Danio rerio: one gene and its partner. The protein of the gene in region 2 binds, or shares a complex with, the protein of the main gene of each other region. Links are inferred from orthologs where the notes say so. Each region holds a gene or a part of one and is shown on either strand. Other genes may lie near its edges.

Region 1 (6,439 bases), on a different chromosome or scaffold from region 2:
CCGCCGAAACCTCTCTCTCCTCTCTGTCCAGGAAGACCAACAATACCACGAGATCCAATAACACCAGGGGGTCCAGGAGCTCCAGCGAGACCCTAAAGACAAGAAAGAGGTATAAAAGACCATTAAGATTCAAAGACATCATGTGTTTGCACTGCACTGACACTATTGCATGAACAACAATTTAACTATAGTGAGCTGGTTAATGACCATATTGATATCTGAGCGGTTCAGATATAGGTTCATAATTGATTAACTGCAAATAGGGATGCAGTGATTAACCAATTTCACTATTAATTGTGCTTTGATTCATCATGGTTAATCAACTGTAAAGGCTTAGCTTTACTGCATTTCTGTTGCATGAAATGAAATTATTAAATTCCAGAGATGTGGACCTTGTTTCGTTGCTTTATTTATGTTCATTGTACTGTATTTTTCAAAAGGCAAGTATATCGTTGAAGTCAAAAGGTAGCTAGAGTTTTTTTTATTATTATTTGGGTGCTAAAAGATCTAGAAAAAATGCACAAAATTAAAATACAGAACAATGTTGTAATGCAGTAGATTAAAAAAGGCTTCTAGATTACATTTATCTACATTTGTTAGATTTATGTCTCGTATATTTAATTCCAAACAGATTTTTATTTTGATTGCTAGTTATTTTCAGTTAAATAAATGAAATTATTAGTTGTTAATGTCAAAAAGTTTTATTTTAAGGAGAGAAATTGACTCTATTGTGTGTTATTAATATACTGTGTAGTTTTCATGTCATTTTATGAAATAATAGTGTTATAAAATTAATGAATGTATAGTAATCCTGTTAACCTTGAAACTGTGATTATTCCTCAGACAATAATCACACCAACAAAATCTGTAATCATTGTAATATCCTCTATCTGCAATATATAAACATTTGTGAAACAAACTGAATGAACTTTAGCTGAATTTAAAGCTGATCTTGTCATTGAACTAAACTGAATTAACATTAAGCCAAACTAAGCTGTATAATGACAATATTGGAAGTGTTGGAAATATGATTACTTACAAGAGGACCATCGGGACCAGGGCTACCCCTCTCTCCGGAGGGTCCTGGGGGTCCAGCAGCTCCAGCCTCTCCAGGACGGCCAGCGGGTCCCTTCTCACCACGGGCTCCTCTTTGTCCCTCTTTACCAGCAGGACCAGTAGGTCCAGGGGGTCCAGAAGCACCCTGAGATTGACAAACAGAAGGCATTAAATTAAATTAATCTAAAGTAAAAAAAAAAAACAAAGACTAAGAGAAGCTAGTAATGCTACATAAAGTATGAAGTCAGTCATAAACATTTGCTTAAATCAGAGATTCACAAATATATTTTGCAAGCCGACCCCTTTATTTTATATCATATTCACAAGTTTACAATATGTCTATTTTCTAGTGGCCACATGAAATTCACATAAAAAAGTAAAGTAAATATTTTACTATTTAAATTTATAAGCTGTATTTTTGCAATCGCTATTTTTAGCACTCTATTTTTGGCAAAGCCGGATTTAGACCTGGCTTAGAATGAATAATACTTACTGAGGGGCCTGGAGGTCCGACTCTACCAGCAGCACCAGGGAAACCAGTAGCACCCTAATAAAACAAAAACACGAACAGACTGCTATAAAACAACCTGAAAGACACACTGCAATAGCATTTTGTGGGGAAAATGATGCCAAAAAGAGATTTAAAAATTATTATGATTGCATTACATATCATTTGATATCATAAAATGTCAGAAATGCATAGTTTACGAAACAAAACATGTATATTTTTTTGCAAAGAAAGTCATGCATTTTAAGTGTGAGGCTAATTTTAGTTAATTAATATCATAATAATACTAATACTAATGCTAATACTACTACAACTAATAATAATACTAATAGTAATCTAAACAACAAAAATAAATGATAGTCTTAATTTTAAAAACTATTATATTATTTGAGTTTAGGTATATATTTTGTATATATTATTTGAGTTTACGTATATATTCTGTAATTCTAAACTATTCTTTTTTATTTACTTTTTTAAAATTTATTTTTATTACTTTCTCAGAAAACTGTGTATTGTGTAAGTAGACCAAGGAGAGGAAAAAAAAAAAAAAAAATTATATATATATATATATATATATATATATATATACATAACTTGTATTCTATAATTATGAAAGCAAATATTCTGTTTTAATTTTATATGGATACGTATAATGTGGAGGATCTAGTATAAAAAAGTAACTATATATATATTACAACATAACATACTAAAATAGGTAAAACAACACTAGAAATAAGCAAAAAAAAAAAAAAAAACTGACATAATAATAAAAAAATACATTATTAAAATTACAATTTAATAAAAAACACTGAATAACTTGGTAGTGAAAGTAAAATTGTTCTTTTTAGTGTGTAATAAATTGTAATAATGCAATAAATAGTGCGTAAAAACACACTTACAGGAGGTCCAGCACCACCACGAGCACCTTTAGGTCCAGTAGCACCAGCAGGTCCCTATCAACAACAAACAATAAGTTAACAACACTTATATCAACACCAACAAAAAAAAAAGTTTATCTGCTTCTAATGCTGATGATATTACCTGTGGTCCAGAAGCTCCAACGGGTCCAGCAGGTCCAGGAGCTCCAGCGTCACCCTTGGGTCCGGAGTCTCCAGTCTCTCCTTTAGCACCAGGCTGTCCATTGCCACCCTGCATTAAGAGAAGAGATAGTTAACCTCAAATTGAAACCCCTCATGGTGGGAAATGATTGAGAAGAGACTGCTTTACTTACAGGAGGTCCAGCAAAACCAGCAGGTCCAGGAGCACCGACTTCACCGCGCTCACCCTGAGATAGGACAAAAATCAAAATGCATCAGTGACATGCACTACATTGTTTATATATAATCCCATACATACTGTGCAAAGCTTGAAGCAGGACCTCCTGTATGACTTATTTAATAAACTCTAAAGAAATGACAAATTGCTTGCATGTTTGTTTGAGTTATTCAAATTTTATGCATTAGACTTCTGCGGGTTATCTAGTGTGACATAATGAAAAAAATAAGAATAAAAATACTTGATTTTAATCTGAGCAAAAAGGTGCCATTTTCAAAATAAAAGTCTGATTTACAAATCAGAAGGCATGCAGTAGACTATGTGCAAAAGATTCTTAAAAATGTAGATCAAATATGATACACTAGGCTAATTCTGCTAATACATTTTGCATGCAACTGCTTGGAAGTTAGCATTATCTTTTGCTCCTTATGTCTATGTTTCAAGATATTTAATTTCTGTAATAACTTACAGGGCCTCCACGAGGTCCAGTCAATCCTGGGGGTCCAACAGCACCAGGCTCTCCCTAAAACACATCCAAATACAAAGCTGATTTAGTATCAACATTATTCTTTTATCCTTTTATTAAGTGACCAATTTAAAATGACTTTGAAGCTGAAACGTAATTGCTTGACAACATTGGTGTTAATCTTTCAATGCTATCTAATAAATGTTTCATATGTCTTTACCTTATCACCAGGAGCACCACTGGGTCCAGGAGGTCCAATAGGGCCGGTCATGCCACGCACGCCATCTTTGCCAGGAGCACCATCAGGACCCTTAGGACCACCATCACCCTAAAGAGAAAGCACAGCATCAATACTGTTTATAAAGCTATACTGAAATAGGTGAAAATGTACCGAAACGTTCTGTCATATTAAGAACAAGAATCATTGGATGAAATATTAAAAGACAATTTAGGTTAAGTAAGGGCAACAAAAGCAGTCATAAGGGTCAATAAATCTTTTACAGTTCTCTATTTATGTATGGTTTGTTAGGATAGGACAATATTTAGTTGCGATATATCTATATGAATATCTGGAATATGAACATTTTTAAAACCCCAACTGAGAAAATCACCTTTAAAGTTCTTTGAAAAGCATATCACTAATCACAAATTATATTTGACATATTAATTGTAGGGAATTTTCAAAATATCTTCATGGAGCATGATCTAAACCTAATTAAAAACAATATAATTTTGTGTTTTTACAATGTATTATTGGCCATTTATACACTGTAAACAGCTATTACTTAAAATAAACGAGTAAATCCATTACCGTAAAAGTGACTAATTGATTTTACTTAAATAAATGTTGGTTCTGTTGTAATTTATAAATGTTAAGTTCATGTAACTTAATTTTTTAGAATTATGCACATACTTTTTCATACATTTACCTAATAATTGATAATGGGTCTACTCACTTTTTAAAAGTAAAATCAACTAAACACTTTTTACAGTGTACACATGTGATGGACAACTAAAGTCTACATATAATTAAGTCTATAATGTGCATTTTGTATCTATCTATCTATCTATCTATCTATCTATCTATCTATCTATCTATCTATCTATCTATCTATCTATCTATCTATCTATCTATCTATCTATCTATCTATCTATCTATCTATCTATCTATCTATCTATATCTATCTATATCTATCTATCTATCCATCCATCTATCCCCAACACTCATGAACGCTAACTCGGATATCATTTTGCACAAATATCTGATGGTAGAATGTCAAAATGCTGCAGATGAATGAGTGTAATAATCTTACTCTGTCTCCTCGGGCTCCGGGCATTCCTCCAGCACCGCGCTCTCCGGGCATTCCCTGCATCCCTGCGGGTCCGACACCACCGTTGGCTCCAGCGGCACCAGGCTCTCCCTGAACACACAAAAAGCATCAGGTTATTTCTCTGACATCTCTGTACTGCATTTTACATTTGCCATACATTTATTAATTTTGTAAATGCTTTTATCCAGATAAACTTACAAGCTCTCACCCAAAAAGGACAATCTTTACTTGTGTTAAACCTTTATGAGTTCTGTTTTTTTGTTGATCACAAAAGAAGATATTTAGAAAAATGTTGGAAACCGGTGACTATTGACTTCTATAGTATTTGTTTTTCCAACTATCGATGGCAATGTTTACAGGTTACCAACATTGTCAAACTATCTTCTTTTGTTTTTAGACGAACAAAACCACTTGAAGGAGAGTAAATATTGAGTACATTTTCAATTTTGGGTGAACTATCCCTTTAAATTCCTAGAGAGTTCCGATATTTAAATTCTATGTCAAGTTATTATTTTTATTTATTTAATTTTTTAGTACTGATGACGGGAATACAAATATATATCTCATTATGTTATTGAAACAGGAGTCTTACCTTTGCACCATCATTACCAGGGGATCCAGGGGCTCCACGAGGGCCGGTTGGGCCACCAGGTCCAGGGGACCCACGCTCACCAGGGAAACCTCGGTCACCCTACGGGAGACATTTACAACATTACTCTACTGTATTTCATTACAAGTAAACAGAAACTACTGTAGTTGTTTATATTTAAAGGTGCTGTGAAGTGCTTTGAAATGTGCAGTACTGTGTGATGTCTGACAAAGACAGGGAGGGGCATAGAGTAGCTCCTCCCCTTTAAAAAAATAGCCAATAGCGTTTGATTTGCATGGAATGTATAACACTACATTTTTAAAATGTGAAATAATCAAGCAATATATATATTTTTAAACAGCTTTTACATCATTTCATACTATAAAATATTGCTTTTCTATTTATTTCTTTTTCTTTCTTTTGCATCTATATTTTGTTTTAAAGTATGTTGTTAATTGAAAAACAACATACAGATACAAAAAGAATTTCCTATATATGTATATATGTATATATATATATATATATATATATATATATATATATATATATATATATATATATATATATATATATATATATATATATATATATATATATATATATATCAGTAATAGTGCGAATACATTTAATAAGTGCAAAAGCGGAAAACAGAGGTGTGTATTACAGATTGAGATGAAGGATATTTATGTGAATATACTCACTCTGGGACCAGAAGGGCCAGAAGGACCAGCTTCACCAGGAAGACCCTGTTAAACAATCAACATAATCAATAACACAGATTAAATGCTGATTGGCTTTTTTAATATGAAATGATTGTTTACAATACGCTTGATTATGGTGACTTAACCTAAACTCCATACAGCAAGCATACAGTAAAACAAACAAAAAAACTCAGACAACAGCTATAATTGTTTGGATTTTGTTTGTATTGTTGTACAGGACACTATAGTTTATTTATGTAAATGAGGATAGCAAAATGAAGTAAACCGTGACATATTATACTCAAAAACTCTTCATACAAATGAGCCTGAGGGATTCCAGAAACTACAGTAATAAAAGTTGTGCAAATATTGTTATAATGCAGTTGTCTGAAGCAGTTTTGGTAATGTTTTTTTAATGCCATGTCAGCAACCAAGGCTTTTTTCATGGCAAGAACATTTTAATGTTAAATATACAATTAAAACAACAAACAAATGGTACATAAATTAAATAGG
Region 2 (6,439 bases):
GCTTCCAAAAAGCTATGTTGAGGCAAGTTGGAGCTAAACTCTGCAGGACACCGACCCTCCAGGACCAAGTTTGGGCACCCCTGGTCTAGATCAAACAAACCAAGGTAACCTAACTACTAATGTGAACACTTGAGCCCTATTTTTTTTTTTTTTTTTAAGTATGTAACTTCTTCCATTTGACAGAAAAATACACGCACACCATGGAAGGAGGTCACTATTCCTGGCCACATCAACTCCTACACCATTTCAGGCCTCAAAGCAGGTTTGACGTATGAAGGCCAGTTGATCAGCATTCTGCGCTACGGACCAAGAGAGGTTACTCGGTTTGACTTCACCACCACATATGGCTCTCGTATGTAGCTTTACATATGTATTATCTTTACTCCCTTTTCTTCAGTAATTTCCAAAAAGAAAAACAACTTCAAACAACTTCTTGTTCTCCAGTGGCCAAAGCAGAGGGTGAGACCACCCAGCCTCGACAAGTAGTGGACACCTCAGAGTCTGTTACTGAAATTACCTCCAACAGCTTTGTCATCTCCTGGGTATCTGCATCTGACACAGTGTCTGGATTTAGAGTTGAATATGAACTCTCAGAAGAAGGAGCTCAGAAACGTGTGCTTGGTGAGTACAGTTGAAGATATTCCATTGATAACAAAATGAATAGGAGAAATATCAATACTCTACAACCACTATGAAGATCATGGATATATACACTAGATATCGCATAGGAACCCTGAGCATGCGTCAATAGCGCCGCCACATTGGTACAGTGCTCCCGGGACAAGTGTCATTCAACCGCACTAGTCAAGACAGTGTTATTACGTCAAGATGCGGGACTTTAGCGCTGTCTACGGGTGTAGTAACGAGCAAACAAACAAAACAAAGCGCAAAGGCAGAACGTTTCATTGGTAATATTAATTTTTTTTCTGTTTTTGTTTGTTCTGAACTTTTGTGCTAATCAGGTCACGTTATTGATGATAACAGTCACTTACTGCATTCACCATATGGCAAAGCAGCACCAACTCGCACTAAACACTTGGCTTATGCTAGTTTTGTTTAATAAAATCAGCAAACAATGCAAAAGAAATTTGAAAACGAGATGCTGCGCTGCCAGAAACTTGTCGGCTAACGTTAGTGAAAGAGTCGTTCGGGGGATTCATTCACAAACGAGTCGCTCCCTTTGTCAGTATGGGAAGTGAAAGCAGGAGAGGAGGTGTGTTTCAGGACACGGATTAGATTAAATTTAACAGGGAGGGTGAATAGTACATTTCTGTACACACAAGCTTTTTGTCAGGAATGCCCGTGCGGTCACTGATCCATCAATGTAGAAAAGTGATGTAAAATTATAATTTTCGTAATTAGAAAAAAAAATACATACTAACATCCAGGAAAACTCCCGATCATAGATATATGTGTATATCTCTGGCTTTGGGTGGCCACAGTCCTCCACTGTACCTTGGTCCCGCATTCATTTTAAAGGAGCGCTACCCTGTAGCAAGATGGCGGCGCTTTTGACGCATTCCGTCCAATAGACAACAGTAGGCCAGGCGACATCTAATGTATATATCTATGAATAAAGATGGCAGTAGCTGTCTGCAGCTCTCACATGGTCACCCATTACAGCCAAGTAGGGTTGTGTCCGGATAGTACCTCGATGGGATACTACATGGGAAAACTAGATTACAGCCAGAAGAGGTGCTCGTGAGGCCAGTAGGGGGTGCTTACTCTGTGTGGATCCTATTGCCCCAGTATAGAGCCGAGAGACTAGATTGTCAGTGTACTATCCTTCGGAGGTCCTGACTCTCTGTGGTCATTAAAATTTCAAGGATGTCCTCTGAAATAAATAGGAGTGTGTCCCTGGTATCTTGGCCAAATTTGCCCAGTGGCCTCTGTCCATCATGGCCTCTTAACTATCCACATATTATCTAACTGACTTCATGGCTCCTCTCCATCAATAAGTTCAGAATGCACTGACTGGCTGCTGTTGTGTCTTCCAGGTGGATGCTGCACACTGATGATAGTTGTGGATATCTCCAAAAAAAAAATCTGTAAAGTGCTTTGAGTCCCCTGAAAAGTGCTATATAACTGCAACAAAATATTAATATTATTAATCAACAAGATGACTGTGAGACATTTTTTGCTTTAGAAAGCCTATTATGACTAGCTCGTCCAATGATAATTTTGGCTAAAGAATCCATTTGTGATGTCATTTTTGTCAGATTAGAATCAATTCAATTTAGTTTGATTTGCTCTGGTATGTTAAATAAAAAGGTTACATCCTTTTCTCACGAAAATGATGGCATTCAATATATTGTATAATTTCTCAATTTGTCCCCATTGTGCAGACCTCCCAAGAACAACTACATCAGTGAACATTCAGGATCTTCTGCCTGGCCGTAGGTACAACGTTGATGTTTATGAAGTCAATCCAGAAGGAGATACAAAACTCATCCTGACTACAACTCAAACCACTGGTAAGATCACTGTATGTAGTGTCTTAGTTCCTGCTTACAACAGCAAAACCTTTTTGATTGTTCAAAATTATATGTACTACACTTTTTAAAGATTCACATTTTAACCAGCCGTCAGAATGTGCCTTCAAATGAATCTCCTATCTATTCACAGCACCTGATGCTCCAACCAATCATGAGGTCTCAAATGTCCAGGAGACCTCCATTGTGATCAGATGGTCCAAACCCAAAGCACCCATTACTGGTATAAGATATGCAAACCAACATTTGGGATTTAAGAATGTCTTATAAAGTTGTCTTTTGAGCATGGTGTATTGGAATGTGGAATGAACTCTTTTTCAGGCTATCGTGTGGTGTACACACCCTCAGTCGAGGGCAGCAGCACTGAGCTCATCCTCCCTGAGACTCAGACATCGGTGACACTGGGTGACCTACGACCTGGCCTGTCATACAATATCAGCATTTACTCAGTGGAAGACAACTTGGAGAGCGAACCTTTGGTCCTGCAGGCAAGCACAGCTGGAGAGCAACAGCCCGGTAAGAGCTCCTTTTATGGAGAAGAGATTTTTCATTTTTATAGCTTTCTGCTGTTTCAGTTAGCCTGTTTGTCAAAATATTCTCCACTCACACGTTCCTAGTATTTTATCTCTGCATTAAGTTCAAAGAGCTATTATTAAGAGAATTTTACTAACTTTTCTCAAAGCTGGTAAAAATGCCCAAGTTTCTCACTCATGTGTAAAAATGTCTGTTCACAGTGAGAGCTGGCACTAGCAAATGTCTGAGCTGGGAGATTTAGAGCTTACTCAGGGCCAAAACAACCTTATAAGGATAACCAAGTTTCAAGTGTGTCTTTGGGGGCTCAAATGTCCAGTTGATGTCTTTTTAACCAAACACATGCTACTTTATGGGAACTGTGAAGTGGTTTCTTCCGTGAATGATCTTGTTTTCCATCTTAAAGCTCATACTCTACTATTTTTAAACAGTGCAAAAGCATACAGTGAAGATTTAGATGTTCCAGATTCAATTAATATTTTGTTGTATGAAATAAGCCTCACTATTTCTCTTGCTATGGTTAGGGATTTTCAACAGACCCTTAACCCAAGGTATACAAGTTCAAACACTAGTGGTGCAATGGTTCAATCAACTTATGTATCACACAACTATGTATCACAGTTTTAGGGTCCTGGTTTGATACGGTATGGTATCTGCTATGTTTAGAAAAAAAAATGGCTACAGAAAAATTCAAAGAAAAATGTACATATTTCTTGGGTAACAAACACCTGATAATGCAGCAGGATTCTGCAGCAAATTCTCTCAATTAAATAAAAGTAGGGATTAAATTTTGGAAATTTTATCTTTAAAAAAAATGCTTAAATTTCCCCTCAGTCTCAACCAATATGCAGATAATAACTGTGTTAACACATCTTAATAATTAAGCACTTTTAGAGTATTGATTACTTCCGTTTACATTATGGCCACATTACCAAGGTAACAATGCATTTTTATCAATAATGATTACAGAGAGCTCTATTATCGCTTATCAGCACCATCATAGTGAATGAAACTTAAGCAAAAAGAGAGCATTCGGCTTTTCTCACTTAATTCGGCGGGAACAGTTAGTCGAGAAAAAAAACTTTTCTAAGCAGACAGCGGGAAAACAGAGTAAATAAATATTAGGAGCAATCTGTTTGGAATAACCCAGCGGGGGCGTGACTGAAGTAACAGACCTGCTCCATGTCTGGGTCCGCATGGGACACTTCTGGGTCTGGACACCGACCCCTGATCTAGGGTATATTTGGCATTCTTTTTTTTGTGTGTGTCTCAATTTACATTAAGTGTCTGTTGAAACACTGATGGCAATGTGCTGTGGTCTCAGCTGCACTTTAGCGCCATGTGTTGTGCTGAACTCTCAGAAACTCCAAATACACATTGATATGTTAGGAAACATGATGTCAACAACAGATTTACATACTAAGATTTGATTGTAAGGTCTTCGCACGTGCAATACATGTGAAAGGTAACCAGAAGTGTACAAAGGGGGAGCGTTTTTGCTTTGTTGCAGCTGTTTTTATGAAGAAACTAAACATTAATAATGCATATTCTGAACTGCGGATCACAGGGCGAACTGAACTGTGGGAGGACAATAGGATGATTAGATTTTTTTTTACAGAGAACCATTGCATTCCTACCAAACCCTGCTACAAATTTTGTTCCCAGAACGTTCTGAGGACAACACCTAGTAAAGTTTCCAGAATGTAATGATCATGAGAGTTTTCTTTAAAGGGTTGGCGAACATTCATGATTCTGGAATTCATCAAATTTGGAAAAATGACATTTCCAGGATGTCCTCTCTTATTTGGAAAAGTTATTCTTCTACTTTCCTTTGTAGTAGAGTGCTAAAAGATTGCTATTTTGTTTTCCATCTTATCAACAGAGGAAATCCAAGCTCCCACAGACCTGCAGTTTTATGAGGTTACCGATGTCAAGATCACTATCACCTGGACTGGTCCTCCTAATGAGGTCTCAGGATACCGTGTGACTTTTGCACCCGTAAGCACAGATGGCCAGGCCCAGAGACCCCTTCAGCTTCCTGTGACACACAATGCTTATGCGGAGCTCATGCGCCTTCAGCCTGGCACACTCTACCGTTTCCATATTTATGCAGTCAGCGGAGGAGTGGAGAGTGAACCTCTGATCGGGGAGAAATCTACAAGTGAGTGTTTGAGTTTTCCAAAAGATCTTACATTTCGTTATTATTATGTCTATATCATCACAACATTCTCCTTCCTCAGAGCCTGATGCCCCTACTGACTTGCGCTTCACTGATATCACCGATGACAGCGCTCTGGTCATCTGGTCTTTCCCCAGAGCTCAGGTCACAGGTTATCGTCTCTTCATCAGCATCGGCAGCTCCAGTCCCAAACAGCTGAGAATTCCTGGCCACAAGTCTCAATACAAGCTCCCCAACCTTCAGCCTGACACCGAGTATAGAGTCACCCTGCACTCAGAGCAAGGAAACACTCTTAGCGAAGGAATTACTGATACTTTCAGAACAAGTGCGTAACCTTTTCTTCTGAGGCGAAACAAGTGCAGTAATGTTCTTCTGTGCCCTTAGAGAAGTATACTCTAATTTGCTTGTTTTTCAGCTCAGCCCACGGGTAATGCTCCTCGATTCAACACTGAAGTCACTGACACTGCTATCATCGTCACCTGGATCCCTGTTGCAAAATTCAGTTACAGGGTATAAAAGCTTTATGAACAATTCGTTAGTTGACACATCTATGGCTAGGAACTATACTCTCTGTGGTGTAATACGCAAGGAACTTTGCTGCTGTACCATGCCTGTAGCAGGTGCAACCATATTATATAGATTCTGTTGGTGCAAGTGTAAGGCCCAATCCCAATTCTATTTTTGTACCCCTAGCCCTTCCCCTTGGCCCTTAAAACCAAGGGTTAAGGGGAAGGGCTTCAAAATTTACCCCTAAGAATTGGGACAGCACTACAGCACCTGCACACGTCATCATACGTCATCATGATCTCTTGCTTGATATGAGATCAGATGATCACGACTGCTGTAGTTTTTTCGAAGGAGTCGAAATTTAACATTTAGCTTTTTTTTTTTTTTTACACGACGGTAAAAAACGAACGCAGTTATGAATATATTAAAACTTGTGTTTGTTTGTGTAAAAATTCATAATAATGACAAAAAAATACTAATTTGTGGATCTTACTTCCGGGTGCAGCTGTGGCTGGTGTATTCTGGCAAATTTTCTTACCCCTTGGTTTCGAGTGTGGTCTTGAAAAATCTTCATTTAAAGGAGTGTATACCCCTTGCCCTTAAGGCTGATTTATACTTCTGCGTCAAACGCCGACGTATGCTACGGCGCTGACGTGCACCTCACAAAAAATGTAACTACACCTCGCAATGACGCGTAGCGTAAGCTCTGTGATTGGTCGGCTTGGTAGCG

What was found. The genes of interacting proteins can lie anywhere in the genome.
Region 1: the proteins of fn1b (region 2) and col1a1b are in contact, whole or in part, in a crystal structure (PDB 3GXE), measured with the Homo sapiens proteins. The link is inferred for Danio rerio from reciprocal best matches to the Homo sapiens genes FN1 and COL1A1. Residues at the interface, in NP_997647.2 of Homo sapiens: Asp516, Gln517, Lys533, His535, Glu537, His539, Leu541, Gly549, Arg550, Gly551, Arg552, Trp553, Lys554, Cys555, Pro557, Gln560, Phe569; in NP_000079.2 of Homo sapiens: Leu261, Pro262, Gly263, Met264, Lys265, Gly266, His267, Arg268.

Annotation. Positions count from the first base shown.
Region 1 is NC_133187.1:3,499,916-3,506,354, forward strand, and holds part of col1a1b (collagen, type I, alpha 1b), read right to left. Parts: intron 5,972-6,439; coding exon 5,927-5,971; intron 5,328-5,926; coding exon 5,229-5,327; intron 4,727-5,228; coding exon 4,619-4,726; intron 3,634-4,618; coding exon 3,526-3,633; intron 3,363-3,525; coding exon 3,309-3,362; intron 2,850-3,308; coding exon 2,796-2,849; intron 2,714-2,795; coding exon 2,606-2,713; intron 2,518-2,605; coding exon 2,464-2,517; intron 1,604-2,463; coding exon 1,550-1,603; intron 1,202-1,549; coding exon 1,040-1,201; intron 93-1,039; coding exon 1-92. UniProt on the Homo sapiens protein: Type I collagen is a member of group I collagen (fibrillar forming collagen).
Region 2 is NC_133176.1:6,922,424-6,928,862, reverse strand, and holds part of fn1b (fibronectin 1b), read left to right. Parts: intron 1-183; coding exon 184-352; intron 353-444; coding exon 445-621; intron 622-2,345; coding exon 2,346-2,474; intron 2,475-2,625; coding exon 2,626-2,715; intron 2,716-2,813; coding exon 2,814-3,008; intron 3,009-4,905; coding exon 4,906-5,184; intron 5,185-5,263; coding exon 5,264-5,527; intron 5,528-5,617; coding exon 5,618-5,712; intron 5,713-6,439. UniProt on the Homo sapiens protein: Fibronectins bind cell surfaces and various compounds including collagen, fibrin, heparin, DNA, and actin. Fibronectins are involved in cell adhesion, cell motility, opsonization, wound healing, and maintenance of cell shape.